Coturnix japonica: one gene and its partners. The protein of the gene in region 1 purifies or fractionates together with the protein of each later gene. This does not show direct contact. Links are inferred from orthologs where the notes say so. Each region holds a gene or a part of one and is shown on either strand. Other genes may lie near its edges. The genes, in order: cadherin-1, SKP2 and PLEKHA7.

The links.
Region 2: the proteins of cadherin-1 (region 1) and SKP2 purify together in Homo sapiens (affinity purification with western blotting; 3 studies listed by BioGRID and IntAct, with this or other methods). This does not show direct contact. The link is inferred for Coturnix japonica from reciprocal best matches to the Homo sapiens genes CDH1 and SKP2.
Region 3: the proteins of cadherin-1 (region 1) and PLEKHA7 purify together in Homo sapiens (co-immunoprecipitation; 3 studies listed by BioGRID and IntAct, with this or other methods). This does not show direct contact. The link is inferred for Coturnix japonica from reciprocal best matches to the Homo sapiens genes CDH1 and PLEKHA7.

The regions. Positions count from the first base shown.
Region 1 is NC_029526.1:16,823,174-16,833,034, forward strand, and holds the start of cadherin-1, read left to right. Parts: upstream 1-3,504; 5' UTR 3,505-3,575; coding exon 3,576-3,644; intron 3,645-3,719; coding exon 3,720-3,834; intron 3,835-7,340; coding exon 7,341-7,570; intron 7,571-7,680; coding exon 7,681-7,815; intron 7,816-7,901; coding exon 7,902-8,057; intron 8,058-8,125; coding exon 8,126-8,270; intron 8,271-8,383; coding exon 8,384-8,559; intron 8,560-8,672; coding exon 8,673-8,801; intron 8,802-8,890; coding exon 8,891-9,408; intron 9,409-9,484; coding exon 9,485-9,627; intron 9,628-9,707; coding exon 9,708-9,861.
Region 2 is NC_029547.1:10,064,114-10,073,974, forward strand, and holds the start of SKP2 (S-phase kinase-associated protein 2), read left to right. Parts: upstream 1-3,700; 5' UTR 3,701-3,727; coding exon 3,728-3,843; intron 3,844-4,251; coding exon 4,252-4,505; intron 4,506-5,283; coding exon 5,284-5,395; intron 5,396-5,644; coding exon 5,645-5,788; intron 5,789-6,354; coding exon 6,355-6,489; intron 6,490-7,573; coding exon 7,574-7,672; intron 7,673-9,143; coding exon 9,144-9,271; intron 9,272-9,823; coding exon 9,824-9,861. UniProt on the Homo sapiens protein: Substrate recognition component of a SCF (SKP1-CUL1-F-box protein) E3 ubiquitin-protein ligase complex which mediates the ubiquitination and subsequent proteasomal degradation of target proteins involved in cell cycle progression, signal transduction and transcription.
Region 3 is NC_029520.1:15,653,807-15,663,567, forward strand, and holds part of PLEKHA7 (pleckstrin homology domain-containing family A member 7), read right to left. Parts: intron 8,741-9,761; coding exon 8,632-8,740; intron 7,589-8,631; coding exon 7,350-7,588; intron 6,670-7,349; coding exon 6,481-6,669; intron 6,238-6,480; coding exon 6,120-6,237; intron 5,284-6,119; coding exon 5,204-5,283; intron 4,798-5,203; coding exon 4,597-4,797; intron 1,506-4,596; coding exon 1,347-1,505; intron 1-1,346. UniProt on the Homo sapiens protein: Required for zonula adherens biogenesis and maintenance. Acts via its interaction with CAMSAP3, which anchors microtubules at their minus-ends to zonula adherens, leading to the recruitment of KIFC3 kinesin to the junctional site.

The DNA of each region.
Region 1 (9,861 bases):
GCCACGGATGCTGATGATGATGTGGAGACCTACAATGGTGTCATCGCCTACTCCATCCTCAGCCAGGAGCCGCGGGAGCCCCATCCCCACATGTTCACCGTCAACCGCGCCACCGGCACCCTCAGCGTCATCGCCAGCGGCCTCGACCGGGAGGTGGGACCCTGCCCGCAGGGCGACCCTGGCAGTGCGGCTGTGGGTGCTGATGTCTGTCTGTCCATTGCAGCGCGTGCGGGAGTACACGCTGACCATGCAGGCGGCCGACCTGGACGGGCAGGGGCTGACCACGACGGCGCTGGCTGTGATTGAGATCACAGATGTCAATGACAACGCCCCGGAGTTTGACCCCAAAACGGTACCGTGGCCGGGATGGGGGCAGGTTATGCCAGGTGCTGTGGGCTTCGTGCTGACCTTTCCTAATCCACAGTATGAGGCGGCTGTGCCAGAGAATGAAGCTGAGCTGGAGGTGGCCCGGTTGGTCACCACGGACCAGGATGAGCCACAGACACCAGCATGGCGTGCCGTGTACTCCATTGTGCGGGGCAACGAGGGCGGTGCCTTCGCCATCACCACTGACCCTGCCAGCAACGAGGGTGTCCTGCGCACGGCCAAGGTGAGCATCCCCTGCTTGTCCCTGTAGCACAGCCACCAGCCCTGGGCAGTGCTACCCATCCTGTTCCCTCCCACAGGGTCTGGACTACGAGGCCAAGCGGCAGTTTGTGCTCCATGTGGCTGTGGTCAATGAAGCCCCCTTTGCCATCAAGCTGCCCACAGCCACAGCCACAGTGACGGTCAATGTGGAGGATGTGAATGAGGCTCCTGCCTTCGACCCACCGCTGCGGCTGGCCCAAGTGCCAGAGGATGTGCCGCTGGGGCAGCCCCTTGCCTCCTATACAGCACAGGACCCTGACAGAGCCCAGCAGCAGCGCATCAAGTGAGCAGGGCTGGGTTGGGGTCACAGAGGGATCCCTATTGCCATGCCCCGCAGGACCAACCTACTGTGCCCACAGGTATGTGATGGGCAGTGACCCCGCGGGCTGGCTGGCCGTGCACCCTGAGAACGGCCTCATCACAGCACGGGAACAGCTGGACCGTGAGTCCCCGTTCACCAAGAACAGCACCTACATGGCCGTGCTGCTGGCTGTGGATGACGGTGAGTGTGGCGGCTGTGAAAAGGGCCCTTGTTCCCACATTCCCATCAGGCTGCAGTCCCACGTGAGGGACATGTGCTGCTGGTGTCACGGGGGCTGCGTCCCGCTCAGCCCCAGGGCAGGGAGTGGTGCCTGCGTTGCCCACAACGCCTTCTGCCAGCATGGGAGTCCTGCTGCCGAGGGTCCCTTACCAGCCCCACTCCTCCCTGCAGGATTGCCACCCGCCACAGGCACTGGCACGCTGCTCCTCACCCTGCTGGATGTCAATGACCACGGCCCTGAGCCCGAGCCCCGCGACATCGTCATCTGTAACCGCAGCCCTGTGCCCCAGGTGCTGACCATCACCGACCGGGACCTGCCTCCCAACACCGGGCCCTTCCGTGCAGAGCTGAGCCACGGCTCTGGGGACAGCTGGGCGGTGGAGGTTGGCAGTGGAGGTAACGTGGGGACTCGAGGTGGTGCTGCACTTGGTCCCACGTGAGCCAACATGGTGAAGTCAGGCTTGTCACCTACCCCGCACAGGTGACACCGTTGCCTTGTGGCTGACGGAGCCCCTGGAGCAGAACCTGTACAATGTCTACCTGCGGCTCTTCGACCGCCAGGGCAAGGACCAGGTCACTGTCATCAGAGCACAAGTGTGTGACTGCCAGGGCAGGGTGGAGAGCTGTGCTCAGAAGCCACGGGTGGATACCGGTGTGCCCATCGTGCTCGCCGTGCTGGGCGCTGTGCTGGCCCTGCTGCGTGAGTGCCCAACAGCTCGGAGTGTGGGGGTGCTGCAGGGATGTGGCGTGGGGATGAACCACTGATGCAGCTCCTCTCCTGCAGTTGTGCTGCTGCTGCTGCTTCTCCTGGTGAGGAGGAGGAAGGTGGTGAAGGAGCCGCTGTTGCTGCCTGAGGATGACACGAGGGACAACATCTTCTACTATGGGGAGGAAGGTGGGGGTGAGGAGGACCAGGTGAGGCCCAGGCCTGGGGATGGGGGGTAAAGCAGTGCTCCCTGTGTGTCAGCCTCATCCTGCTCCATCCCCACGCAGGACTCACGAACCTGATGCCAGCTGCACCGCGGCCTGGACGCCCGCCCTGAGGTGATCCGCAATGACGTGGCCCCCACCGCTGATGGCCGCCCCCCAGTACCGCCCCGGCCGGCCAACCCCGATGAGATCGGAAACTTCATCGATGAGGTGAGCCCGACCGTTCTGCCGCCGCACTGCTGGGCTGCCCACAGCGTCCCCATCCCATAGGGCTGAGCGCGGGGGGAGCAGCGGGTGAGCCCTTCCTCTGCCCTCCTACAGAACCTGAAGGCGGCTGACACGGACCCACGGCCCCCCCCTACGACTCCGCTGCTGGTGTTCGACTACGAGGCGGAGGTCGGAGCCACCTCGCTAGCTCCCTCAATCTCCTCCGCCTCCGACCAGGACCAGGACTACGACTACCTCAACGAGTGGGGCAACCGCTTCAAGAAGCTGGCGGAGCTCCTATGGCGGTGGGGAGACGATGACTAGCCCCCAACCAGCGCTGCTGCTGCCCAAAGCCTTACCCTGCCCGTGCCTTGGGGCCGCGCTGCCCTCTCCTGCACTCCCTGTGCTGTTTGAAGCAGCCTTGGCTTCCTCCTGTGTGTTTCAACTTTTTTTTTTTAAGCAACTATGAATTTGATGTAGTGGGGTGGTATCAGGGTGGTACCGTTGTGGTACCGGGGTGGTATCAGGGTGGTACTGTTGTGGTACCAGGATGGTACCAGCGGGCTGAGCTGGGGCTGTAGAAGTTTTAGGGAAGTTTTAATAAAGGATGTGGTTTTCCTTTTTCCTTTTTTAAGACCCTTCTCTGTCTCGCTGTGATTCTGTGCACCCCAAGGGCTCAGAGCAGACCCCCCTCACCCGGGGCTGGCTCAGCCCCATCCCCTGTGTGCAGCGATGGGGAGTGCAGGGAGCAGCGCTGCCCATCCCCAGGGCTCTGCCCGCTTGGCGCTCAGCAATAAGTGCATTAAACAACTTAACTGCGTTAACCACGCCGGCTGAGCACGGCGCCTAAGGGGGAAATGGAGCGCTGCTGCTGCCGTGCCACGGCCAGGGCTCGGCTTCTGTCCCAGCTCGGTACGAGCAGCCCCAGTGTCTGTGTGCAGACTCTGCCCCGCTGCAGCCGCGGGGGCGGCGGTAGCACTGAGTGTCGCTGCTCACCCCGGCCCCAGCGCAGCGCCGCAGTTCGCAGAAGGGACCGACCCCGCCGCCCCCTCGTCCCCCCGTGGGCCTCGCGCCCGTGGACGGCGCCGTGGGACGGGGCGGGCGGGACGGGGCGGCCCCGGTGAGGCGGAGCGGGGCGGGGAGGGGCCCGGCGGGGCCAACACCTGCGGGCGGGGCGCTCCCACCTGCGCTTGGCGGAGGCAGCGCTCGGCAGCTCCGTCCGCGGCGGTACCGGCCCGGTCCCTGAGCCATGGGCCGGCGGTGGGGTTCCCCCGGCCCGCAGCGCTTCCCCGTGTTGGTGCTGCTGCTGCTGCTCCAGGTGCGGGGCTGCCGGGCGGGACGGAGGGGACGGAACGGGACGGAAGGGGTCGGGGCTGACACCTCTCTCGGGCAGGTGTGCGGCCGGCGGTGCGACGAGGCAGCCCCCTGCCAGCCCGGCTTTGCTGCAGACACCTTCACCTTCAGCGTGCCCCGGGACAGCGTGGCGGCGGGCAGGGAGCTGGGACGAGGTAGGAGCACGGGGGTGGCTGGGGGGACAGAGCTGTGGTCGTGGGGGTGGGTTGGGTGTGCGCCACCAGAGGTGATGAGAGACACGGGAACAGGCTCAGCGTGGTACCGAAGGTGGCTGGTACCAAGGACGAAGGTGTTCCTGTTGGGACGGGTTCAGTGCGTGGCAAAGTGGCATAGAAATATGGTTGGATGGGGGGCTGGGTGCGTGGCACCGAGGGTGGCCATGGGGAACAAAGCCATGGCTAAGTGCCCGTGTGCCCTGCGTGCTGTCAGGGCCGGCTGCACTATGTCCAGTTCAGTGCTGGTGGCCATGGGCACACGGAGCCGTGCCTACGTGTCCCAGCTCCACGAGCAGCCCGGTGGTGCAGGTGCCGGGGCAAACAGGGGCAGTGGGCGCCTCTCCCAGCAGCACCGAGGCGGGCGGCGCTGACTCAGGCAGAGCTTGTTGGGGCCGGCAGGCTGGGTGTGGGGCATGGAGCCCGGCCCTGAGCCTGTGCTGAGCCCACATCCCAGCACCCAGCACACATCAGCACCCAGCTCACAACAGCACCAAGCCCACATCCAAGTGCCGAGCGCCCGTCCTGGTGCAGAGCCGTGCGTGGGTGCGGGTGGTGGTTCTTAGGAAGGGTGGCTCAGGAGTTCCAGTCTGAGTTTCGCCCACGCTGGGGAGTATCGGGGCTGGGAGCTGAACCCTGCACTGTACCAACGCATTCCATGTTTGTGAACTTTCTGTTAATCATTTACCCGGGCTGTGCAGCGCCAGCAGGCTGTGCCCATTGGGGCAGTGACTGACATCAGGGTGACGGGCAGCTGTGTGCCAGGCAGCACTAACCCAGCACACAGCGATGGCTCCCAGCTGGAAATCCCCGCTGCCGAGCACCAGCACTTCCCGTCTGGGGCTGGGGACAGGGGGGGTGTGTGGGAGTTGGGCGTCCTGTCTGGGTCTGCCCGCGCGTGCCAGCGCTGCTGCCACAAAGCCTGACCACAGAGCATCCTGCCGTGCCCTCCGTGCCGTGCAGCCTTTCAAAAGCCCCATCTGTGGCTCAGCACGAGCAGCGTGATGAGCTTCCCTGTAATTACCCGATGAGCCGAGCGCTGTGTTTGCAGTCAGACAGGTCTGGATTGGCCCCGCACAGCGCTCGGGTGGTGAACATCAGTGGGAGCTCCAGGGGCTGGTGGGTGCAGCTCTGGGCTCCCCAACGGCGCTGCAGCTGCCTGCCTGATGAAAGGGCTTGGTGGAGGAAGGAGCAATTTCCTCCATGTTAATGCGGGCTGTAAAAGCTGCACGGCACGATGCTTTCTGCTGGGTGCTGGGGCTGCTGCTGCCCCACACCCCAAGGGAAGGACAGACAGCACCTGCCCCGCATCCCTGGGGCTCAGCTCAGCCTCACTTACTGAGCAAAGGGTCCTAAGGGAGGGGATGGGATGGTGGATCCCAGGCAGGAGCTCTGAGGGAGCCCTCGGCTGTGTGGGTATGGCACCTTATGGGAGGAACACGGGTGTGCAGCCAGGTGTGACGCTTCCCAGTTGCGTAGGTCCCGGATCAGCCCCAAATGGGAGAAAACCGAGAGTCTGAAGTCACGGTGAAACTCGGTGATGTCAGGCCCTGGCAGGACGTGTGGCTCACTGCGCTCTTGCAGCACTTTCACCCTGGCTGCTCATGGCTGACGTGTGCCTCTCCCCGCCACCAGCTTCCGCCCCGGCACAGCCGCACTTGCACAACCTGCGTGGGGATGGGGAAGAACATTGGGATGGTGGCACTTGGCTGCGCCTGTGACTCACCCTGTGCCCAGCCCCAGTGAGACACTTTCCTGTGTCGCAGCAGAATGGGGGTAGCTTGGTGTCCCCAGGTCCCAGCCCAGTGTGGAGGGCTCACCTCCCCACCCCAGCTTTGAGCCGGTAATTCGCTGGTTTGGGCCCCACGGCCAAACGCATTTGAAGGTCCAGGAAATCAGTGGCACTCAGTTGCCTCCCGCAGTGCAGGAGCCCCTGAGCTCGACCCCTGCCCCACGCCTTGCCGAGGCCCCATTGGCTCAGTGCCCCGGGGAGAATGGAGCTGGGAGGGGCTGGCTTTCAAGTGTGGAGCTGGAAAAACAGGTTGTGCACGGCCGGGCGCAGAGGGGGAGATGGGGAGAGGGGGAGAGGGGGAGCTTAGCAGCGGTGCGGGGCCGGGTGCTGTGCACGGTGCGCTCCGCCGGCCAAGTGCCAGGAGCCGGGTACCCGCAGGGATGGGGCACCTCCCCACTGCGAGCACACGGTGCGGGAGCGCCCGGCGTGCCCCAGCACAGCCCTGCACAGCCGGTATCACCGGCTGGCCCGCCTGGGTTGGCATCGCCCCGCAGGGAGCGCGGCACGGCGGTGGGCGAGCAGCCCCCGGCCCAGCTCTGCCATTACCTCCCCCTCGATGTTGTCTCTGAATTCCTGGGCTGCCTGCAGGCTGATGTAACACGGGACGCTGGGACAGGTCCCGGCAGTGACGGCCGCCCCTGGGGAGCCCAGCTCCGTGCTTCCCAGCCCGGGCACATTGCTGGGCCATGGCGGTACCCCGCGTGCTGTACGGCCATGTGGGAGCCAAGGCTGTGCGGGTCAGGGGGACCCCGGCTGAGTGCTGCCGGCTCAAACAAAACATCCCCAGACAAAGGAGCGTTTGTTCTGGCAGCTCCAGCCATGCGGCCCAGCCTCATGTGATGCTGCTGCTCGCTGCTGAGCTGCGCGGTCCCCCCCAGGCTGTCCTCAGCCCTGGTATGCTGGTCCCTGCTGTGAGCACTGCCAGACCTGCATGGCCTGTGCTGGAGCTCACACTGTGACCCAGCAGGGTGACTCCGGGGTGTCATCTGTCCCAAAAGAACCCCAAGCAGCAGAGGGGATGGAGCTCTGTATGGATACCTGGGCAGCAGGGGTGCCCCAGCTGCTGTCTCACGCCCTTGGGTGCACCTTCCCCACTGCACAGACTCATATCCCAGTTGGCTGCTGGGGTGGCCACGTGCCAGCGGATCTGAGCCAGACACAGCCCTTGTTTTGATTTGAAAAGCAGCCGGAGCAGCAGCACAGCACCCTCAGCCCACAGCCACGGGCAGGGCAGCAGTGGTGTGCCACACGTTGTGCCATGGAGGCATGTTCTGTATGGATGCACCATGCCCACATGGCAAAGATGGAGAACACTGAGGTTGGGTATTAGGAGGAATTTCTTTGGAAGAGTGGCAGTGTGTTGGTATGGGCTGCACAGGGGGTGGTGGAGTCAGCGTCCATGGGGGAGTTCAAGGACTGTGGGGATGTGGCACCAAGGGATGCGGTTATGGGCATGGTGGGGTGGGTGGGGGATGTCTGCAGTGTTTCCCAGCCTGGATGGTTCTGTGATGGTACAGTGGATCACGCACAGGCTGCATTGCACACACTGCAGTGCACAGGGGTGCTCTGTGCCTGGGCTCTCTTGTGCATGCAGTGGTGCATGGGGATGCTCTGTGCATGGTGGGGTGACCCTGCCCACGCTTTCCCCTGCCCGCAGTGAGCTTTGCAGCCTGCAGCGGGCGGCCGTGGGCCGTGTATGTCCCGTCTGACACGCGCTTCAAGGTGAACATGGAAGGCGTCGTCTCAACAAAACGGCCACTGACGCTCCATGGGAGGGAGATCAGCTTCATCATCTACGCACGGGATGCCACGGGCAAGAGGCACTCAGCACGGGTGACTGTGGGCAGGCACAGGCACCGCCGCCACTACCACCACCAACACCTGCAGGTGAAGTCCCCATGGTCATTGCAGCCCAACTGTTTCGGGCCAAGAGCAGCAGGTGCCTCTGGGCTGCTCTGTGCTGCCACAGGCACCAGGATGAGCTGCTGTTCCTGCAGGACATGACACCGTCTGTGCTGACCTTCCCCGAGCATGACTCCGGCTTCCTCCGGAGGCAGAAGAGGGACTGGGTCATCCCCCCCATCAGCTGCCTGGAGAACCACCGGGGCCCCTACCCCATGAGGCTGGTGCAGGTACGGGGCCGAGGGCTGAGCGTGGTGTCACTGGGACGGGCACCAGCCCCTGGGTGTCCCCTCTCAGCACCCTGCCTCGCCGCCAGATCAAATCCAACAAGGACAAGGAGTCCAAGGTGTACTACAGCATCACGGGGCAGGGCGCGGACAGCCCGCCCGTGGGCATCTTCATCATCGAGCGTGAGACGGGGTGGCTGGAGGTGACGGAGCAGCTGGACCGGGAGAAGATCGATCGCTACACCGTGAGTGGGGGCCGTGGGGCGGGCGGGGCCGTGCGGGGCCGTGGGGCTGACGGTGCCCCCCCCTGCAGCTCTTCTCCCACGCCGTGTCAGCCAGCGGGCAGCCCGTGGAGGACCCCATGGAGATCATCATCACGGTGATGGACCAGAACGACAACAAGCCCGTGTTCGTCAAGGAGGTCTTTGTTGGCTACATCGAGGAGAACGCCAAGCCAGGTGTGGGGGCTGGCGGGCGGGCGGGGGGCCGGGAGCCCCGGGATGGAGCGGTGCCGGGGGCGGCGGTGCCGCGTCCCACCAGTGACGTCTGCCCGGCTCTTGGCTCTGCCCAGGCACCTCCGTGATGACCGTGAACGCCACGGATGCGGACGATGCGGTGAACACGGACAACGGCATCGTCAGCTACTCCATCGTCAGCCAGCAGCCGCCCAGCCCGCACCCCCAGATGTTCACCATCGACCCAGCCAAGGGCGTCATCAGCGTGCTGGGCACAGGGCTGGACCGGGAGGTGGGTGCTCTGCTTTGCGCCCCACGGTGGGTACAGACCCGCACACAGAGGGGCGCTCTGTGGGGTGCTCTGTGGGAACGCGGGGCCTCTGATGCTGTGACCTCATCTTGCAGACCACTCCCAACTACACGCTGATTGTCCAGGCCACCGACCAGGAGGGCAAGGGTCTGTCCAACACCGCCACGGCCATCATTGAGGTCACGGATGCCAACGACAACATTCCCGTCTTCAACCCCACCATGGTACGTGCTCCCCCACCCTGGCTGGCTCTCCCCAGCTGCTGCCCTCCCCAGGCTGCCCATGTGTGACCATCCCTGTGCCCTCTGTGCAGTACGAGGGGGTGGTGGAAGAGAACAAGCCGGGTATGGAGGTGGCCAGGCTGACGGTGACGGACCAAGACGCACCAGGCTCCCCAGCCTGGCAAGCCGTTTACCACATCAAGAGTGGGGACCAGGATGGTGCCTTCAGCATTACCACCGACCCCAGGACCAACAATGGCATCCTGAGGACAGCCAAGGTGGGTCACGTCCCTGCCAGTGGCCCCAGAGTGGGTCATGTCCCCATCGGCCCCACTACCACCTCAACCCTTCACCCCACCCTGCAGGGCCTGGATTATGAGACCAAGAGCCGCTATGACCTGGTGGTGACGGTGGAGAACAAAGTGCCCCTGTCTGTGCCCATCACACTCTCCTCCGCCAGCGTCCTGGTGACTGTCTTGGACGTGAATGAGCCCCCTGTCTTCATGCCCCCTGTCAAGAGGGTGGAGGTACCAGAGGACCTACCAGTGGGGCACGAGGTTACATCCTACACGGCCAAAGACCCCGACAGGGACATGAGACAGAAAATCACGTGAGTGGGGGCTTGGCTGGCAGAGAGAGAGCATGGGGTGGGCGTTGAGCTCCCCCTGACCGCTCCCTCTGCCCAGGTACCGCATGGGCAGCGACCCAGCAGGCTGGCTGGCCATTGACGCCCAGAACGGCATCGTCACGGCCACCCAACCGCTGGACCGTGAGTCGGTGCACGCCATCAACAGTACATACAAGGCCATCATCCTGGCTGTGGACAATGGTGAGGCTGTGCCCCCGCTGCAGGCAGATGGAAGCTCTGGGGATGTGGTCTCTTTGCCTCGCTAACGTCTGGCTTTGTAGGGGTGCCGGATAGCACCGGTACGGGGACGCTGCTGCTGCTCCTCCAGGATGTGAATGACAACGGGCCCACCCCAGAGCCACGGTCCTTTGAGATCTGCAGCCGGCAGCCTGAGAAGCAGGTGCTGAGCATTGTCGACAAGGACCTGCCCCCACA
Region 2 (9,861 bases), on another chromosome or scaffold:
AAAACAGAGCATTTCTTCCCCACTCAAAACCAGTTTAATTAAGGCAGAGCTGTCTGACAAATGCAGCTTTGGATGCCCATCATAGCCACACCTCATGCTATGCATTAAAATTATACATCATACGCTCCATGAGTCATACCTATAGAACTTTTTACTACAGTCACACCTAAGGAGCTGCAATCAATACATAACATGAAAATTTTGTGTGTGAGATGACGCACTCAGTTCTTACCCAGAGATTTCAAAAATGTTATGAGCCTGTACTGAACACACTAAAATCAAGAGGGAATTTATAGTTTATAGCCTACAACAGAACAGAACCTGCACAGCTTCAATTCACTTTCAAAGATTTGGTTCAAAAACTATAAGACAGAAAATAGTAAAAAGTAGTTCTAGGGAAAAAATAAAATAAAATTTAAAAAGTCCTGCAAAGAGAGAAACACGTTTCTTGAGTGGAGCTCTTGCTGTGAACAAAATCTTCTTAGGAGGACAGCCATACCTGGGACCCTTGCTAATAGAATCAGGACTTAGAATATATTACTGTTTGCCTGTGGGAAACAGAATTTACCTCTGAAGCTGGCTGTTAGTTTACAGAAAGATGCTTGCCCACAATCATGTTTCTCAACTACTAGCACTCCCCTGAACCAGCTGGCTAAAATTCCTGAACCCTGGAGAATTTTCTCCCGAGATCAGCAAACTACTTCAGAAGAGCTCTTTCTGCTCTCACCTTTCTGTTAAGCAATTACAGAATCACAGAATCACAGAATCACAGAATTGTAGGGGTTGGAAGGGACCTCTAGAGATCATGGAGTCCAACCCCCCTGCCAAAGCAGGCTCCCTACACCATGTCACACAGGAAGGCGTCCAGGTGGGTCTTAAATATCTCCAGAGAAGGAGACTCCACCACCTCCCTGGGCAGCCTGTTCCAGTGCTCCGTCACCCTCACTGTAAAGAAGTTCTTGCGCACATTTGTGCGGAACTTCCTATTTTTCCTCTAATTACAAGAAGTAACAAACTTATCACTGAGAGGAAGAGTATCTATTGACACACTCCATCACTGTAGGATAAAGCACCCTCAACTTGTTGCAATTTAGATGGAAATCTGTTTTGTTTTAGACATGGACTAGAACCACGTGTTTTGAATCCTATGAATGGAAGAACCTGGGTATCCCCATACAGGACAGGAGTTTCAAAACTGCTACAGGAAATCTTTGAAGGTCCAAACACAGCTAAGGACTTAGCAAGAACACTAAAAGGGGCAGTTCACACTTTAATTACCTCAGAGACTGCCTACCACCATGTCTTAAATTACCTTGGCAGCCTGGAGACTGAAGAAGCCCAGGGGTACTTACATTACAAATGAACTAACTGCTCACTCAGCCTGGCACAGAAATTACGTGTTACTAGATGAAACAGCACAAAAACAACCCAGTCGTTTCTTGAAGATTCTAAACAGCACTCAATTTTATAACAGAGGTAATCCAAGGCAGGGCTAATAATAGCAGTGCACATCTGTGAAGAAAGGCCCAGCAAAGAAGTTAATGAAGCGTGAAAGAGATGCTGTAAAGAACAACATCGAAGATAGCTGAAGCATACTGGAAAAAGCATCTGTGAAACAGCACCTCCCACCTCAAGCTGATTCCACAGCTCTGGAGCACAGCTAAGAAAGCAGCCACCTCCAGCACACTATCAGTGCTGAGTTCCATGGTGAGCTCTTGCCCTTATGGCAGCCATCTCCCAGCCGTCAACAAGGGTGTTCCAGCATATTTGGCAAAAGAAAAAGTGTCTGCCATAACACCTGTGACAGGGCTCTGATGCCTGCCCTACTCTGCTAAACTGTCTGGTAAGAATCCCAAAGACATGCCTAAATCCTCTGCACCAATATAAGTGCTTAACCCTAAGCTTTAGAAACTTTCATCTTTAAAAAATAAAGTGGAATATCTCATGTTTTATAAACACTAAAAGGAAGATAAGGTAACACCACGCTGAAAAACAACCCCTTCAGACACTTTCATACTCAGCTCTGCTCAGTCTGTTGTTTGTCTTTTTATTTTGTTTCCTCCCAGCTTCCATAGTACACACTGACCCTTGCACCACAGGGATCAGATAAGCAGATGACAGATGAAGAGCTTCTTAGCACTGACAAAACTACCAACAGAAAGAAACAGGCCTTCAGCTGTCCATGAAGCTGACCAGCGCAGTTACCCTACTGCACCACCCGGAAGAAATAATCTCTGAAATGAACCAACAGGTGCAATCTGCATAGCTTTGTTCTTCCAAGAAACAGAGATCAAACCATGCACCAACTAGTATTGTATTAGCACCTGCAATTTCAATTATCTTGGAAAGTACAGAATCACAGAATATCCTGAGTTAAAGGGATCCACGAGGATCATTGAGGCCAGCCCCTAGCTACGCACACAACCACCCAAAAACCAGACCATATGTCTGAGAGCGTTGTCCAAACACTTCCTGAACTCTATCAAGCTTGATGTTGTTACTGATGCCCTGCAGAGCCTGCTCCTCTCCAGGAAGGGAGCTTACAAGCAAGAGAGGGACAAACTTTTTCCATGGTCCAATAGCGACCAGACAAGGGAGAATGGCTCTAAACTAATAGAGAAGAGATTTAGGTCAGATGTTAGGAGAAGATTCCTTGCTCAGAGGGTAGTAAGGTGATGGCACTGCTGCCCAGAGAGCTGTGGTGCCCCATCCATGGAGGTGCTCAAGACTGGACTAGATGAGGCCCTGGAAAGCCTGAGCTGGTGAAGGCAACCAGCACATGGCAGGGGGATTAGAACTGGGTTAATGCCCCTTACAACCCCTGCCTCTTTATGATTTTGTGATAATGTATGTAAACAAGATTTAAAACTAACTAAACATTTAGTCTTTGCATATGACACCCTGGAAATAGTAGCAGAGAGAACACGCAGCAGGGAGGCACTACGATGTATAATAAGAAAGCCGTGCAGCCGTAGGATGAACCCAGAACAAAACTTGTAATGTTGGCCTGCCTGGGGATGCTCACACAGAACAGGTGTCACTGAGGAGGTCTCCGTGTGGTTACAACCATAATGCTGCAGTGAGACAGACGGCCTGTTCAGAAAATCAGAACTGAAATCATAACGACGCCTTATTTATCCCTCCGGCCCCATGTGCCACGCGTCGCGGTGCTGCGGGCACGGCCCTGTGAGCACTGCGAGGAGCTGAGCGCGGGGCCGGATTCCACACAGCGCCGACACAGCCCGGCCGCGGAGCCCGGAGCGGAGACAGCGAAGTGCGCTCTGCAACACACAGCCCGTGTTCCTCGGGAGAAAATCAGACAACCGAAATGGGCTAAAAAGCCGAACAACAAGCGTCACATCCCGCCCTTCCTCAGCCCTCGGCGCAGCCCAGACACAGGAACTGTGGCCGGGCCCAGCCCGTCCGCGCTCCCCCCGCCCGTGACTCGGCGCTGCGGCCCGCGCCGCCCCTCACCGCGCTCAGCAGCCGCCGTCCCGCGGGGCTGGGCCGCCCTCCATGCTCGCTGCCACCTCTCCCCAAACGAGGCCTCAAACCGCCACACACACAGCACCGCCCGACTCGCTCCTCGCCGCGGGGCCCGGCACCGCCGACATTTCCCGTCACCGCCGCCGCTGTCACCGCCCCCGGCCGGGAGGCGGGCACAGGATGCGGGGAGCGAACTACAACTCCCGGCAGCGCCCGCACAGCGGCTTCCGGCCGGCTGGGGATGCGCGGGACGGTGCGAGGCTGGCGGGCGGGCGCGCGGGCTGCAGGGCGCTGCGAGGAGCGGGGCTGTGCCGCTCAGCGGGGCTGTGCCGCTCTGCCGTCCGCAGCCATGCTCAGGTACGGTGGAGCAGCACCCGCGGGGAGGGATGAATACGAACCGGGAGGAGGGATGGGGGTGTGTGCGTGTGGCTTGGCGGGGTATGGGGGCAGATGGGCTGTGGGGCGTGTGGCTCTGTGAGGAGCGCGGTCCGGCTCGCTGAGGCGCGCTGCTTCTCCACACGCTGCCCGCGCGCTGCTGGCGCCCAACGGCCGCGTGAGGCGAGATGTGAGCTGAGGGATCGCCCCGCTCTAATGGGGTTAAAGTTAAGCTTTTCTTAGTGGGTATTGTTGCATTAGGTGGGGATATGTGTTGTTAGCGAGACCTGCTCTCTGCTACGGGGCTCTCTGTACTTCGCGGCGGCTTCCAGAGAACGTGGCGGTGGTCTCGCAGAGCTCTGGTTCACCCGAGTCTTGCAATCCCTGCAGGAAACATCTCCAGGAGATCCCCTCCTCCGACAGCAACGTCTCCACTGGCTTCAGCTGGGACTGGGGTTCCAGCAAGGCCTCGGAGTTGCTGTCAGGCATGGGGGTGTCGGTGCTGAAGAAGGACAGGCTGGGCAATGAGAACACCCCGCAGGAGCCTCTGCTGCCGGCCTGCACACCCCACAAGCGGCTGAAGGTGAAGGAGAAGGAGTTTGTCATCGTGCGCAGACCTCGTCTGCTCCGAGAGGCAGAGCCAGGTACTGGTAGGCAGCCCTGCCTTCATTTACCCTGCTGAATTAACAGAAGTTATTGCTGTACCCATCCCCAATATAATTTTGAAACTCAGGGACTTGAATTTTGTATATAGAAATCTTAAAACTGAGAAACTGAGCCCTCCAGACTATGAGAATCCAGATGTGCATCTTTCACTTCAGGGTGCCAAGGAGCAGCCCCTCCACTCCATTGGGGTTGGACTGTAATGGGTGCAAGGGTCCCTACTGGAAAGAGGCTCTGGGCTGGCAGGGGAAGGATTCAGTCCTCAGAGCAGTGATGAATGAGCTCTGGGTCACAGGCAGCTGTTGGAAGCTCCAACATGTACAGTTTTTTCCTGGGCAGACAGAAGCACTTGCACTGTATCTGCATGTGAGAATTTGGGGTTACGCACAGTAAACTTAAACAGATTCTGAGAGATGTTTTGAAGAGCACTTAGGGCCCTTCTTGGGGTGTAAGGTATGTTGCAAGGATGGGCATTTCAGCAGGGATGTATAGAGACAAGAAGTCCTGAGATGTCTGTCTAGAAAAGTCTTTCCCTTCCTGCACTTGGGGAAACATACAAGCCTTCGAATACAAATGAAATAGATGAAATGCTCTCATTTCCTGAAGTATATTTCTTAAAATGAAGAGGTGAAAGAGAGATGAGTAGTATGTAGAGTCCAGGGACATACTGTAGTGGTCCTTCTGGCAACCAAACTGAATAAGGCATCAGCAGGCAAAAATGAGCCAGATTTAACTAGAGCGTGTTCACTCTCCCTAAAGGTGTTTCTTGGGATGAACTTCCAGATGAACTTCTATTGGCAATCTTTGCATATCTGCCCTTGAATGACTTGCTGAAAGTTTCCATGGTTTGTAAGAGGTGGCATCGTCTGTCGTAAGTATTACTTCTCGTCACTTAATGCTAAGAAGAACTTTGCTTCCATAGGTTGATAAATGATTTGGTTTCCATCTAACGTGGTCAAGTGTTATTCAGTCTATTATATATTATAACTCAATTATTTTATCATTATGAAATTGTCCTGGGTGGTTTTTCTTCCTCAGTCTTTTTGGAGTCTGGAAAGTTTCTGTAGTTGTACACATAGGTGTGACTTTTCCTTGCTAATGAGCAAATTCTGCTCCCTAGGTTTGATGAATCTCTCTGGCAGACTCTTGATCTGAATTGCAGAAGTCTGCTGCCAGGAGTTATTGGACAGTTGCTACCTGCAGGAGTTACTGTGTTCCGCTGCCCAAGATCTTGTATTGGGAATCCACTGTTTAAAACCATGAAGTAAGGCTTTCGCTGTGTACTGAGTCATGGAACTGTCTCAAATCTTCAGTGTTTCTCTGTTTTTTTCTTTTTTTTTTTTTTAACATCTTCACCAGTATTAGCGTTTGTCATCTCTGTGGAGTGTGGAATAGCTGATCAGTGGTTAGGCATATATTGAAGTAAGAGCTGTATTCATCAGTCAGTTATTAAGAAATAAGCTAACATGGTATTTGGAAGTATACTTCCAGCACCATTGTGCTCTTGCAAGTTATTTCTTATAGAACCAAGAAATGTGAGCCTTGTCAGCATTTTTACATGTGAACCTCAAAAGTCAGTCTAGCTCCAGCAGGGTAGATTTGGAGATGTTGTGAATACCAGAAAGATAAAAGTTCTAGAGTTTTGGCTAGTGGGTTATTAGTACAGCCAGCAAGGTTAACAGTCTACACAGTGTGCAGCTGAAATTCACAAATACAACTGCTCTCTATAAGCTTTGCACACTTGCTCAGTATTGCTTGGATTTATGGTGTGTGGAATTTGTAGTTGCTTTTTTGGTGCGGTTTTATTAACCATGCTTTCCCATCTCTTAGGCCTCTCAGAGTTCAACACATGGATTTGTCAAATTGCACAGTAGCTGTTGCAGATCTCCAGAGCATTCTTTGTCGTTGTGAGAGACTGGAGAACCTAAGCTTGGAGGGACTAGTGCTTTCTGATGATATCATGAAGTGAGTGAAATGTTTGGGGATGCTCTGTAAATAACTTACATTCAGTGCCATTCTTTTGTGCAGGCTAGGGACAGAATACAGTTGTTGCCCCCTGTGGGAGTTGTTTGAAATGGCCAGCTCTAGCCATTTAAAGGATTTAGCCGGCAGGTTGTACAAGCTGCCTTTTTCTCACCTGTCCAAGAGACCAAGTGGGAAAGAAACACTGCTCTGGAACAGTTGTTTGTTGTTTATTTTTGTTTTTCTGAAATTTCTCAGGGTTCTTGGAAGCTTGATAAACTGCTTATCTCTGTGGCAGTTGTGTCCTTTTACTGTTCCTGCTTGTGAGCTGCAGAGCAGAACTACTTTTATTTAGTGATTTCTATGCTCCCAGGGCACGTTCACGTTTAGTGTACATATTCTTTTGTATTTTAAGGAGTTCCAGCAACTCTTCTTCCTGATGCTCTGTGTGCTTCTGTACTGTTTCTCATTTCTTTGTTGACCTTCACTGAAAAAAGTATCTGAAAAATTAGACTCCATCTAATTGAGTCATATGATCATTTGAGTTGGAAGGGGCCTTTAGAGGTCATCTGGTCCAACTGCTCTGCAGTGAGCAGGGACATCTACAGCTACAACAGTGTGCTCAGAGCCCCATTCTGCCTGACCTTGAATGTCTGGAAGGATGGGGCATCCACTGCCTCTCTGGGCAACCTGTTCCAATGCTTCACTAGTAAGTGCTATAGGGAGATCGCTTAGTCTTTTGTAGAGGTAAAATGATTTTGAATAGGCCATGGTGTTTGTTCATTGAAATGTAACAGGAGAAGTTGAAGAGGAATTATTTCCTGTCTAGTTTGGCTTAGAAATACAAAAGCATGTCTGGACCAGCGCTTAAACAGACAAGTGTTCTTCATCAAGTTGTGCTGTGATGCAGCAGGAAGTTGAGATCCTTAGTGACTCTTTTAGTAGGTCAATTTACTAGAGATACAGTGTTGAACATGCAACAAACCTGTGCACAACATCTTCACTTTTAAACATTATCGTGTATCTTAGCAATAAAAGCGAAGTTCCAAGATTTTATCAGACTTCTCTTTTTTTTTCTCTTCTACAGGAGCATTGCTAAGAATCCCGGTCTGATACGACTGAATCTTTGTGGGTGCTCAGGATTTTCTGCAGAAGCCTTGGAGCTGATGTTAAGCAAATGTACTATGTAAGACAAAAATAGTGTTTGCTATTCCTACTTACTCTTAACTTCTGAGAGGAATTGTCCTTTTTGTTTTTTTTATAAGCATTCCAACTGTATTTGTCTGTCACTGTGTTTCTTATGTGGCTTACTATGTTCTCAAATGCTTAACTGTTGGCTATTACCTGAATACTTATATAATTTCTTTCCATCAATCTATTTTCTTCTTTAATAGCAAAGAAATACTTCAGTAATTATTTGTGAGTCTCTTTAGTCATCCTTAAAGGAGGTCTTGGTTGGTTAAAAACCCATGTATATCCATTTGATTTTCTTAATGAAAGCAATATGTAATTCTCACAGTGTGAAAGCATACAAGTTTGTGGAAGATACCATCTGAGTGCGGAGTACAAGAGCTCCCCATGCAGTCAGAGAACAGTATGAATGGCAGAAAACATTGTGCCCTTCCATCCATGGTAGAACAGTTCTTCAGTATTTGATGCACCGTGTTCAGATTGATGGGTCTAGCGATTAAACCAGCTGCTCTCAAAAGTCACTGAATTGAGCTTCAGTAGATGTGGGATTTACACCCTGATCTCTTTGCTGACTTCCTGTGAGATGTTGGACAAGCTACTCAATTTGTTTCTGCAAAATACTATTTTTAATCAAACTGCAGTAGCCCAGTGGACAGACAAAACCTTAATCTTGCTCTGGGTAGTTAATACTTACTGCTGCTGGATCTGATTACTTGGATGCTGAGCTTCTTAAAGAAAGGCAGTATCTGTATAATGCACAGTGCGTAAAGATCAGGTCTGCCATCTGCTTTAAAAAGCAGTATTTTCAAATTTACATAACGAGCTAAAGGCTCTGGTCAGGCTGTTTACTGTGCCTTTGTCCTCAGGTTACATCTCTTGTAGCTGCACACAAAACAGTACTATGACTGGTAATATGCTACTGAGTGTGTAGTTGAGGTAAGGTCACAACCTGGCCAGTGCATATATAAAACTATAAAGTATTTTATGATAACAGTGTAATTGGTCACCTGACCAATGCTAATAAGTGATAGTAGGAGATCTGTGTTTCTGCCTCTCAGTGTGAAGATCTGGTCAGTGGGAACAGGTTCATATCACCAACCAAATACAAGATGAAGTGTCTCCCCTTGACCATTTAACTTCCTACAGTGATTGTGAATCATTCTGATTGAAAGTGATCTTGAGAAGTTGCTTTGACTCTTTGCCCACAGCAGGTTCTAAACGCAGTTCTGGTTAGGACTTTGTCCAGCTGAGCTTTGGAAACCTCTACAAATTTCTTGCAGCCTATCTAGGCAACTTGCTTCAGTGCTTAATTATTGTCATAGAGAAACTCGTATTAATTAATACAGAAACTTGGTAGTAGATGTACCACAGTTTGAGTTCTTATGTATATGTAATACCATTGATACTTCTAAGGCTAAAACTTCCATTTCAGTTACTCTTCCAAACAGTTCTTTGTTTGTGTGTAGGTTGCAGGAGCTGAACTTGTCCTGGTGTGACTTCACAGCCACTCATGTCAGAACAGCAGTCAGTCACATTACTTCAAAAGTAACCCAACTGAACTTAAGTGGATACAGACAGAACCTACAAATATCAGGTAAATTTGAAGCATGACTAATATTTATTCCACTAAGAAACAAAGCAGCAGGCTTTATATTTTCTTCTGATCAGCGTCCACTGTAAGTATTAGAAACACTGTGTGCTGAGACTGATTCTATGCTCTGCATAGAGCTTTATGTTTGCACTGTCAGAGAATCCTACTAATTTCTCCAGCTCAGTCACAAGGAATGAGATAATTTGTATGGTTACGTAGAACTCATTTCATCTTCACTTGAAGAGTGTAGCCTGCAAGCAGGATAGATTGAATGGATCTCATGTTCAGCTGTGAGTCAGCCTTTCTGATACTGTGGGAGGGAGCTTAGTTTTTGGAGCATTCTTAATATAAGGCTTCTGCTGTTGTGGCTGCTGTAAAGGTCATTCAAAAACAGTAAGCCTAATAACTACTTAGGTTCTGCACCAATGTAATATCCTACAGATAATACATTACAGATCCTACAGTTAATTCAGAAGGCAAATAATATCAATATGTGTGGTATTGAAAGCATCAATGTCTTAACTGAAAGATGGGCTGATTGTGACCTCTTTTCAGATGTTAAAACGCTGGTGGAAAGATGTCCTTTCCTTGTG
Region 3 (9,761 bases), on another chromosome or scaffold:
TTTCTGAAAAACGATTTCTTGTCACATTTCCTTACCTTCAAATTCAACTCCCCCACAGAGCGATTTATATATTTATTGTACAGCTACTTGAACAGCTCATCCTGCCTCTTCAAAAACAACCATTATCATGCAAACAGAGGATTTATCAGCTATAATAAGTATAGCCTTACAAGGTACAGAACTGGCCAGGCGAAGAGGATGGATAAATGAAATGGAAAGACAACCTGAGTAACTGGAGAAAGAAGCTTTAAACCCAGACCTTCACACCTGCTTCAGTCACTCTGAGGTATGTCTAATGTCAGAAATGTCTATATGCACAAATGTTTCTTGTCCCAGGCTGAAGGAGCTAGTTTGGATATAACAAGTGATTCAAAAAGCTCTGGAGGTCTCAAGGAAACATCTGCTGGCGCATATTTAGCCAATTGTCATCAAACACACACAGACTGTTACCCTCTGCGTAGCTTTCCAGCCACTCTGCCCCAAGCCTGTAGTGATGCATGGGGTTGTTGTGACCAAAGTGAAGGACCCAGCACTGGGACTTGCTGAAGCTCATAAAATTGTCCTCAGCCCAGTGATCAGTCTGTCCAGATCCCTCGGCAGGGCCTTCCTACCCTAAGGTAGATCAACATTTCCCCCCAGTTTGGTGTTGTCTGCAAACATACCAAGGGTGAGCTCCATCCCCCTCATCCAGATGATAAATAAAGCTATCAAACAGGGATGGCCCGTTTAGTCAAAGTGCTTCCTAGTCTAGAAGTCTTCCTACCGTTAACAATTTCATAGACTTCCCCTCCACCGTGCCGTTATACACAGCACATTACCTGTCTTACACTTGCTATGTTCCTCCCTTTCCACTAGATGGCTCAATTGCATTTCAGACAAATACTGAACTCAGCAGAGCTGGAAACAAATCTTGCCCCGGGAACAAGTCACATGAATAGCCAGCAGAACGTTTTCTGCCATATCAACATGAAGAGTAAGGCAGCTCTGTGGAAATAACTTTTACTTCTTAGCAGTTTCTTATTTTAAATGCTCTTTATGTTGTCGTCTTTTTTTGCGTAATTCTCATAAACATTGCCTAACAACCACTTTTCCCTATAAAGCCTATATATTTCACAAGGCAGAGCTAACCATCCCATTTTTTCTCTCCACTAGAGCATCATATGAACACAAACCCTACAGACACCCCAAGAGCCAGGCCAGAAATATGCCTCCTTTTCAATACCCAGAAGACTCCTTTCAGTTTGAACTTCCAGCTCACATTTGAAATAAAAGATGAAAATTAACTACATAAAACTTAAGGTTAACATCAGGGGGAATGCAGTAGGAAGCAAATATATGAGTGTTACCTCTCTGCTGATGTCTAAATCATAGTCTTGGGGCTCCAGGTCTGTCTCTGTCACCGCTACTGCTACCGGCTGAACTTTTAACCATTCATTTTCATCCTTGTCTTCTCCACGAATTGCCCTCTCAAGTAGCTGCAAATCAAATTCTTGCTCTCGTTTCCACTGGCAATAGATACAAAACAATTAATAGCATTCAACTGTACTGGCAAATTCAACATTCAGCAGTGTACATAACTGTGTCTGCAAAAGCTATTTTGCTGAGAGAATCCACAGCGCAAACTCTTACAACTGATAGAAAAAAAGAAAATGCTGCTGTATTTCTTGCAACTCTTGTCTGGGAGATTTCATTTCTAGCTATGCTGCATGGATTTCAGAGTACTGTTTAATTTTATACACAGTGTGCAACTGTATTAAAGTATATCACAAGTATTAATCTCATATGCTGATGAACGTGGTACCAGCACAAACATCTATGGAAGTACAGGTGTCAGTACAAGCAAGCCTGCAGTGCTGGCCTTGCTCTAGGTATTCTGACCAGGCAGTGCTGCAACACTGTGAATTACTAAACAGAAAGGACATTGATACTGCAGGCTGAGAATTGCTGCTTGTTAGCTCTACATGCCTAGAAAAAGACTTAGCGATTAATGCTGGTATTTTTAGTACTAGCATTGACTTGTCTGAAATTCAAACACAATAAATGTAATAACTTTTAGGCTACTTTACACTCCATTAACCTTAGCTACCTGCAAAAATTAAGAATTTTATACATCCTCCTTACAAGATAAATATTCAGCAAGAATACAGTAAGAGCATAGTTAAACAGCATAACTTTAAGAGCTCCCAGATTATTGCTTAGCAGCTCCTTCACAGCTACTCACAATACAGCTCCATATAAACTCAAGCTTAAGAAACCTAACAGTACATTTGTTCATAAGAGACAAAAAAATTAAGCTCTGTTGCAGCATCATTCCACCCAGCAGATCTCAGTGACTTTACCATACAGACTTAAAATGGATTAAAAGCAGCAGGGGAGAAAAGGGATAAAACAGTAGAACGATCTCTTGAAGTATTTAAGGCTATCAGTAGGAGAACATGCCATTACATTCAATACAAATGTTTAATATTTCTATTACATATCTCTGGCTTGTTTTGGTTGAAGTCTGAAATCTACATGAAGCCCTTCGCCTCCATGATGCTACTTGCATTATTAAATCCACTTGAAACCTATTCATGCACAAGCTCTCGATATTCACTCAAAAGATACGTGTCCTCTATGTATATTTGGAAAGTTAATGTACCTGAAAGGTCAATTTCATCTCAAAAATTAAGATTTTTATTTTTTTTTTTAAGATTTCAAAAGGAGAAAAAAATGTTTTTATCATTCTCCCTCTCAAGACTTCTTATTCTACTCATATTCGAACCAGGCCTGATTGACATAGTCCATTTCAAATACACAGTATCATTTTCAAATTGTGTTATGTAGGTAAGAAAAACATCAAACCATTATTACAAAGCAAAATTTTTATTGGCTTTGATGTTGCAACTTTTACATTAAAAAGGCATTGTATATAACAAATGCGCTGATGTACTGTGATCCATACTTCAAATGCCATTCTACACTTGCGAGCTGACTGATTAAAAAGTCGAGTTACACATACAATGCATGTTTTAAGCAAATGTTACATACTGAGCAGCATTTCAATTATACATTTAACTGTTTGCCATTTTGGCTGCTAAATAATTGCAATGCTGTAAGTAATTGTGCTATTGAACATGCTTCTTGCGTTTTGAAGCCCTGTAGGTACAAGATATGATCTCTGCAAAACACTGCTAGGGCTGAAAGACTCAATTCTTTACAGCAAGAAAAAGACCAAGATGGCACCCAATTTATAGATGAAGTACTTGTCACAAGTGTTAATAAGGAGTGTCACAAAAATGTTTAAATTCAACTTGCGTATGTTACGTTAGACTTGGGAAACATTAGAATCTCAGATTTAGTTCTTCTAATTAAGATATGAAAATAAAGGTTCTGCTATAGTTCCATACTTCCCAAGTATGACGTACTGCCTTGAATAACTTTGTGATTGCAAAACAGAAGACAAAATAGATGGGTGTCTCTAGAGTTGTGCACTCATATTTACTGGGAAAGTAAATATAAAGAACTGGCTGTAAAACAGCGTTACTGAGCAGTGGGAATGAAAGGCTGAATATTATAAGGGGTGGTTTAAATGCCAGCAATTGACACACATGTACTAAATGCAATTAAGCCTGGTAAAAATTGAGTAGTCCAGTTAGAAATTTTAAAATAACTACAAAATTCTGCAAATTAAAAACAAAACAAAACGAACAAACAAAAAGAGGCATTAGGTATGATGAGTGACAAATCTAAAAGCAAGAGATCTTGTGCAATGAATTAGGTAAAACAAGGTGACTGTTCTAAAGCTCTAGTGGACCAAATGAAAAATAAATTAAAAGGCTACAGCGTAAGTGCAATTACAGTACAATCTTGGTTTAGCACCAAGTGAGCAACTGGGTAGCTTCACCAATTAGAATTGCTTTGGTTAGTATCCAAAACATATCATTACAAACTTACATTCTGTACAGCATTTAATCTCAAAACACAACAAAAATTCTTTTTCTTCAGCAGCTTAAATTTGAGCCTTATTAGAATATTCTACATGTTGAGCTTTAAAGGAGGACTTGCTGCAACCGAAACCAATTTGATTCTAAAATTCTACTAAGCGTGGATTAGGTTTCAAAACTTATTATTCATTTTTCCTTAAAAACAAACAAGAAAAACCAACCACACAACCTGCTTGGCCTGATATCATCACAACTATCTTGCAGCCTTATTTGTGAATTTAAAAGAAAAATAACCATGGTGAGTAAGAACATTCTAAAAGGCCCATTCCATTATGAAGCAGTTTGAAAATCCTAGAAGTTTCTTACACTTTCTAAATACAGTGCTAATAAAAAACAATCACATCTCTGAATTCACTCTAACAGAGCCTCACCTCCACTCAGCACACGGACCTCTGACCAACTTACCTGCCGAATCTGCTACATACACTGTAACTACTAGTAAAAAATGACCATCTGTTACTTGCACTCTCTGAACTCATTTTATACTGTATAACACTGATTTAATTATACTAGAAGCATCACACACGCTCAAGTGAAAGTGCTTGCTAAGAAAAAAAAAAAAATCCAAAGACATTTCTAGTTTAGTCCCTTTAAGGCATATCTAACATACTGAGCCTATGTCTGCAGAAATGGGCCTGATGAAAGACCGAGATGAAACAGACTGCCTTTCTCCTTGGCTAAGGGTTCTCTTGCGTTCACGAACTAATGCCTTCTGATGCCGTTTCATTCTTTCTAGTTGTTCCTCTGCACTCATCTTGCCTCTTTGGTGGTCTCCAGAGTATAAACGTTCCAAGGCACTCTTTGGTCTCTCCTGAAGAAGTTACAAGGCACACAGAAAATGTGCTGGAATTAATAGTTTATAAGGAGCATACAAATAAACAGCATCTTTCTCCCACCTTATTTCTAACAAAGATGATTTTGCTCTATTGCTTTGTATTAATTTGAATATTTCAACATTATAATATCTATTAATACAGATGATTTTGATTCCAAATTTTGTTTTTATAAATCTATTAGAAACATAGTAAGTCATCTTTCTACTTCCTGACTCATTCAAGAGAATTAGAAAATAAATAGTATTAGATCATTGGAGATGGGACCTCTCCCATGGGACTAGAATTCCATCTCCTGCTGTACAATATGTGCTCTGGATTTAAGAACAATTTGGAAGATCAAGACAGTAGTCAGTAGTCTTCAGATGTCCTTTTAAAACTTACCTTGGACCTATCCCTTCGAAGAGTTGCATATGATGAAATGGTAGATGACTGGTGCAATCTGGAAGTTGATCCAGATAAGCCTTTATAAGGAAAAAGAAAATGCTTTAAAACCAAAGGGACAGACAAAACAAAGATGTGCCAGATACTTTTTTTCCTGACGATATTCTCATTATTTTAGTTCACATTTCACACTTTTTTCTTTAGCTCAGAATGCCATGAGGAGCAGGAAATTTCATTTCAGCCACAGCTGATCCATTTCAGGTCACTACTGATCAAAACACAGAAAAATCTACTATGTTTTAAACATATATTAAATGAAGCATGAGGTGAATTCAGCTGCGCAACAACAGATATGCTTTACAAATAGTCACATCTATGAAGAAAATCAAACCTTAACAGTGTTTAGGAGCTACAGGGATTCAAAAACCAAACTGACTACTTTTCCCCAAATATCCTCTCTAACCTCACCTCATGGTGAAATGACTTTAGCACTGAGGTCCTACTGACAAGTCACTTGTAGTGTTTGGAGGCATTAAGTTTTTATTCTTTAACATTTCATTGACTCCCACAGGCAATACATGTATTTTATAAAAAAATTAACTCGAGTTTATAAACACAACACAAAAATAAGGAAAGGCAACTCCGAATACAGGAGATATTTGAACAGCTAATTGCATTGTTTTGCTATGGTTTCTGTTTCTTTGCTTTTAAGAATTACATATGAAGCTCCTTTGCCAAAGGGTGGTTATCCATAACAGCACCGTTAAAATCACAGATTCTCTACAACTTCACAGCACTGTACAGTTAATTTAAAAATAACAATGTCAAGAATAAAATAATCTCCAGAAAATCCTAGGAGAGAAGCTCCTATACCAAAAGTACTGTAGAAAATCATCTACGTTAATTCCTGGCTTACCACGAGTAGGCAATGTCTGGTATCCGCTATCAATGGTTACAAAACCACTGGAAGGTTGGTTGAGGTCACCACCTATCATTGCTAGTTCTGGTTCACTCACATATGAACGCAGTTCTACCTGTGTGGAAAGATATTTACTGGTTGAAATGACATCATGACAGCAAGTCTTAAAACAAATCCCAGCAATTTTGTTTCTGGATTAGTGAGTCTGTCTCTGCTGTTACTATTACATACAGATCTCTTCCATTTTCTGTCTCTCCCCTCTCATTAGAAGATCTAGCAGTATACATATTTCACAGACACTATCATCTGTTATTGGTTCACATGTTCCTTAAAGCGCAGATGGTGTATGAGTGCTCACCCTATAATCTCCGTTTACATACTGTCCCAGTTCTCTGTCTCTCTTTCTTTCATCTGACTGACGTTTCAGGCCTCGCACTGACGTATGTCTGATGACGGTGGCTTCTCTTGGGAGTGGTGGAACAGCTGGTGGTTGATCTTCAGGACTGTATAACTGAGGGAGAGGAGGTCTGGGTGGTGCTTCATCTTCCTGGTCAGAGGAAAGCACAGGTATATGGCAAACAGTCTGGAATAAACTGTCTGAAAGTTCATAACATTATACAAATTATTTATGATTGCTTTACCGTGCTCTTCTCTGTCCACCAGAAGCTTGAGTTCTTATAAGCAAACAAGACCCAAGAAAGCAAACAACCAATGAACCAAAAGGCATTACCAAAGAGCAAAGAAGGCTCTTCTGCTTTGGTATGTTCTGAAACAGTATATAGCTACTTGAGTAAACCTCTAGGTTACAAACATAGGAATAGAGGAAACGACCTCAAGTTGCAGCAGGGGATATTCAGGTTGGATGTTAGGAAATAATTCTTCTCCAAGAGTAGTCAAACACTGGAACGAGATGTCCAGGGAGGTGGTGGAGTGACCATTCTTGGAGGTGTTCAAGGAACATTTACACTTTGTACTGAGGGACATGGTTTAGTGGGCAACATTGGTGATAGGTGGACAGTTGGACTGGATGATCTTGGAGGTCTTTTCCAACCTCAGTGATTCTATGATTCTAAATACTCTTGTGTATTTGTTGCTGCACTGTTTGATTACAACCCTTGGGTGGCTCCTGCTGTGCCTCCACATTGCATGCACTTAGCAACCATGAACGCTTTCTGCTAGAAGCAAACAGAAACAGCAGAGAACAAGGCTCACAGTAACAGTACTTACAACCTTTGGCATTAGCCTAACTGGCGACTGAAGAGGCGGCTCAATTTTTTTCAGCTGTGGTACTTGTTGCTGTGTTCTGGCCTGGAAATAAGGCTGTGGGTACAGCCTCACCTCTAGGGAAGGTTTGACCTGGCTGGACGGAGGGCTTTGTGGAACTGAAGGTTTGCTCTCCACGGTTGTGAGAGAAGCTGGTAAGGAAGGCACTGTAGACTGAGAAAATGAAGGCACTATTTTTCTTTCTAGGGGAGAAATATGCACATTTGTTAGATGCTGTGTTTCTTATATCTGTCAACAATGTTCATACAAATAGAAATCAGTATCACTAAGCTTTAAAAAACAGCCCTAATACTCTGCACATTATTTTCAACACAAATTGAGTTTGTTTGTTTGTTTTAATATAAAAATCTATGACTGCTAGATTAGGCAGGGGTGGGAAACATTCCCTTAATGAGGATCAAATAAGCCTTCAAGGCTAAAAATAAAAATATACATTAACATCATTCAATGAAAACCCTTGTTGAGAGGCAACAGGAGAAAAGGAGAAGTCCACACATCATACGCAATCGTTACAATGGTTGGATATGGCTCCATACCTCAGAATCCATCAGATGGCTACAGAGCTAGACATGACTAAGAACCAATAGCCACACCTTAAATAAAACATAATCTCACCAAGAACAATTTAATCTCTGAGCGTAAAAAGGTAAGCAAAAATAGACTCAAAATACAAGATGAATTTACAAGAGGCATTAACAGCCTCTTGCTTTCCCAGAATTCTCCTCTTTCATTCGAAACATCATAAAGCAATCAAAATGCAGACCACACATTCTTTTCCTTCTTCTATTCCATGGCTGATGCTGCTGCTCTACCCACCAAGCAACTGGAGCAAGGGCAGTCAGGCAGCATCCAAGAGGCAAAAAAAAAAAGCAGATGAGTACAGAGAGGAGCTCCCAGATACCATACAGAACAGATACTACTTTGGTATGACTCTGGTGTACGTGTGAAACTGTTTCTTTGACCTGCATAACTTATCCCACTGCTATTGCTCTCTTTTTCTTATGGCTTGTTATGCTTCAGTATGTCAAACAGAAAAACACACACTTTTTTGCTGGCTCAGCCAAAGAAACACCAAAACAATGTGTTCAAACTGCAGATTTCCAGTGCAGACATTATCAGAATTAACTATGCTGTCTGCTCTGAACATACCTCTAGAGTATCCACATAGACTCAAAAATTCAACTGTATTTGAAATATTTTTACATTTTAATTATGTTCTCTTTACCTGGATTCTTGATGGAGTCTACTATGGTTTTGTAATTTGCTTTATTTGCACTCAAGCCAGCCGTAACATCTTCAATTCTCCACAAGTCCTTCTGTATTTGTGTTTTCTCCTGATAGTTAAAAAAACAACAACAACAACAAAAAACTTTTAAATTTACGATGCATTTATCCTTTTGTTACCAAAACCAAAGTAACATTTCAGAACTTACAGGCATAGAAATTGGTTACACAACTACTTTAAAATTTAAAACAAGCGAAAACCACATTACCCACAGATCAACGTATCTTGCACACAGACCCATAGAATTTAGAGCTTTCCCTGAGTCTCAGAAGATTTCCTAAAGATGACATATAGAATGAGACATCTCTATACTGTTCTCTACAATATTATTCAGGCTACAAAATCCTGGTTCTATATATAGTGAGTTTATAGTGCCTTTTAAATTGAACTAGTTTCTCAAATCCTTTAGCGCACTTTAGGATGCTAAGGTAGCATTACAAAACTCCTCTTCACAGATTTAGAGGAAATGCCCAATATTAGAAGAAAAAATATATGAGTGTCCACGAATAACGCTATACAATCGCCTAAGAACATGCAATGAATTAAATATACAACCAAAACTAAGTGAGAAGGGATGACAAACTTAATTCTTTCTATGCTTGGGTGGTTAGGGCTACTGGATATGATGCATTCTTTGGTTTCAACTTGTGTCCTGTTTGTTCTACTAATTCTTCCCAACAGGCAACAATGGGAAGCTTTCTCTAATGTCTGGACTCTGCCTTCGTGTATCTTGTGGCTAGAGGCTGTAGCTACTGAAGCCATCACTTCAGATACATGTTTATTGCAATCATCAAAAACCACAGATGTAAACAGCTATTCAAGGCATGTGGATTTTTGTTGTTTCCTTTCCTTTCCTCCCCCCCCCCCCCAGACCCCAGATTATAAGTAATCTTGTTAATTTACTGTAATTTGATATTTTTCCTAAGGAATTGATGCCTAATAACTCTTCCTTAAAAAATAAATAAATAAAACAAAATAAAAAACAACAGGCACTAAGAAAAAAATTAATAGTATTGTTCGTTTCCCACGTGGTTTTATAAAGGCAGAGGGCTGTGCAACACTGTTGTTAG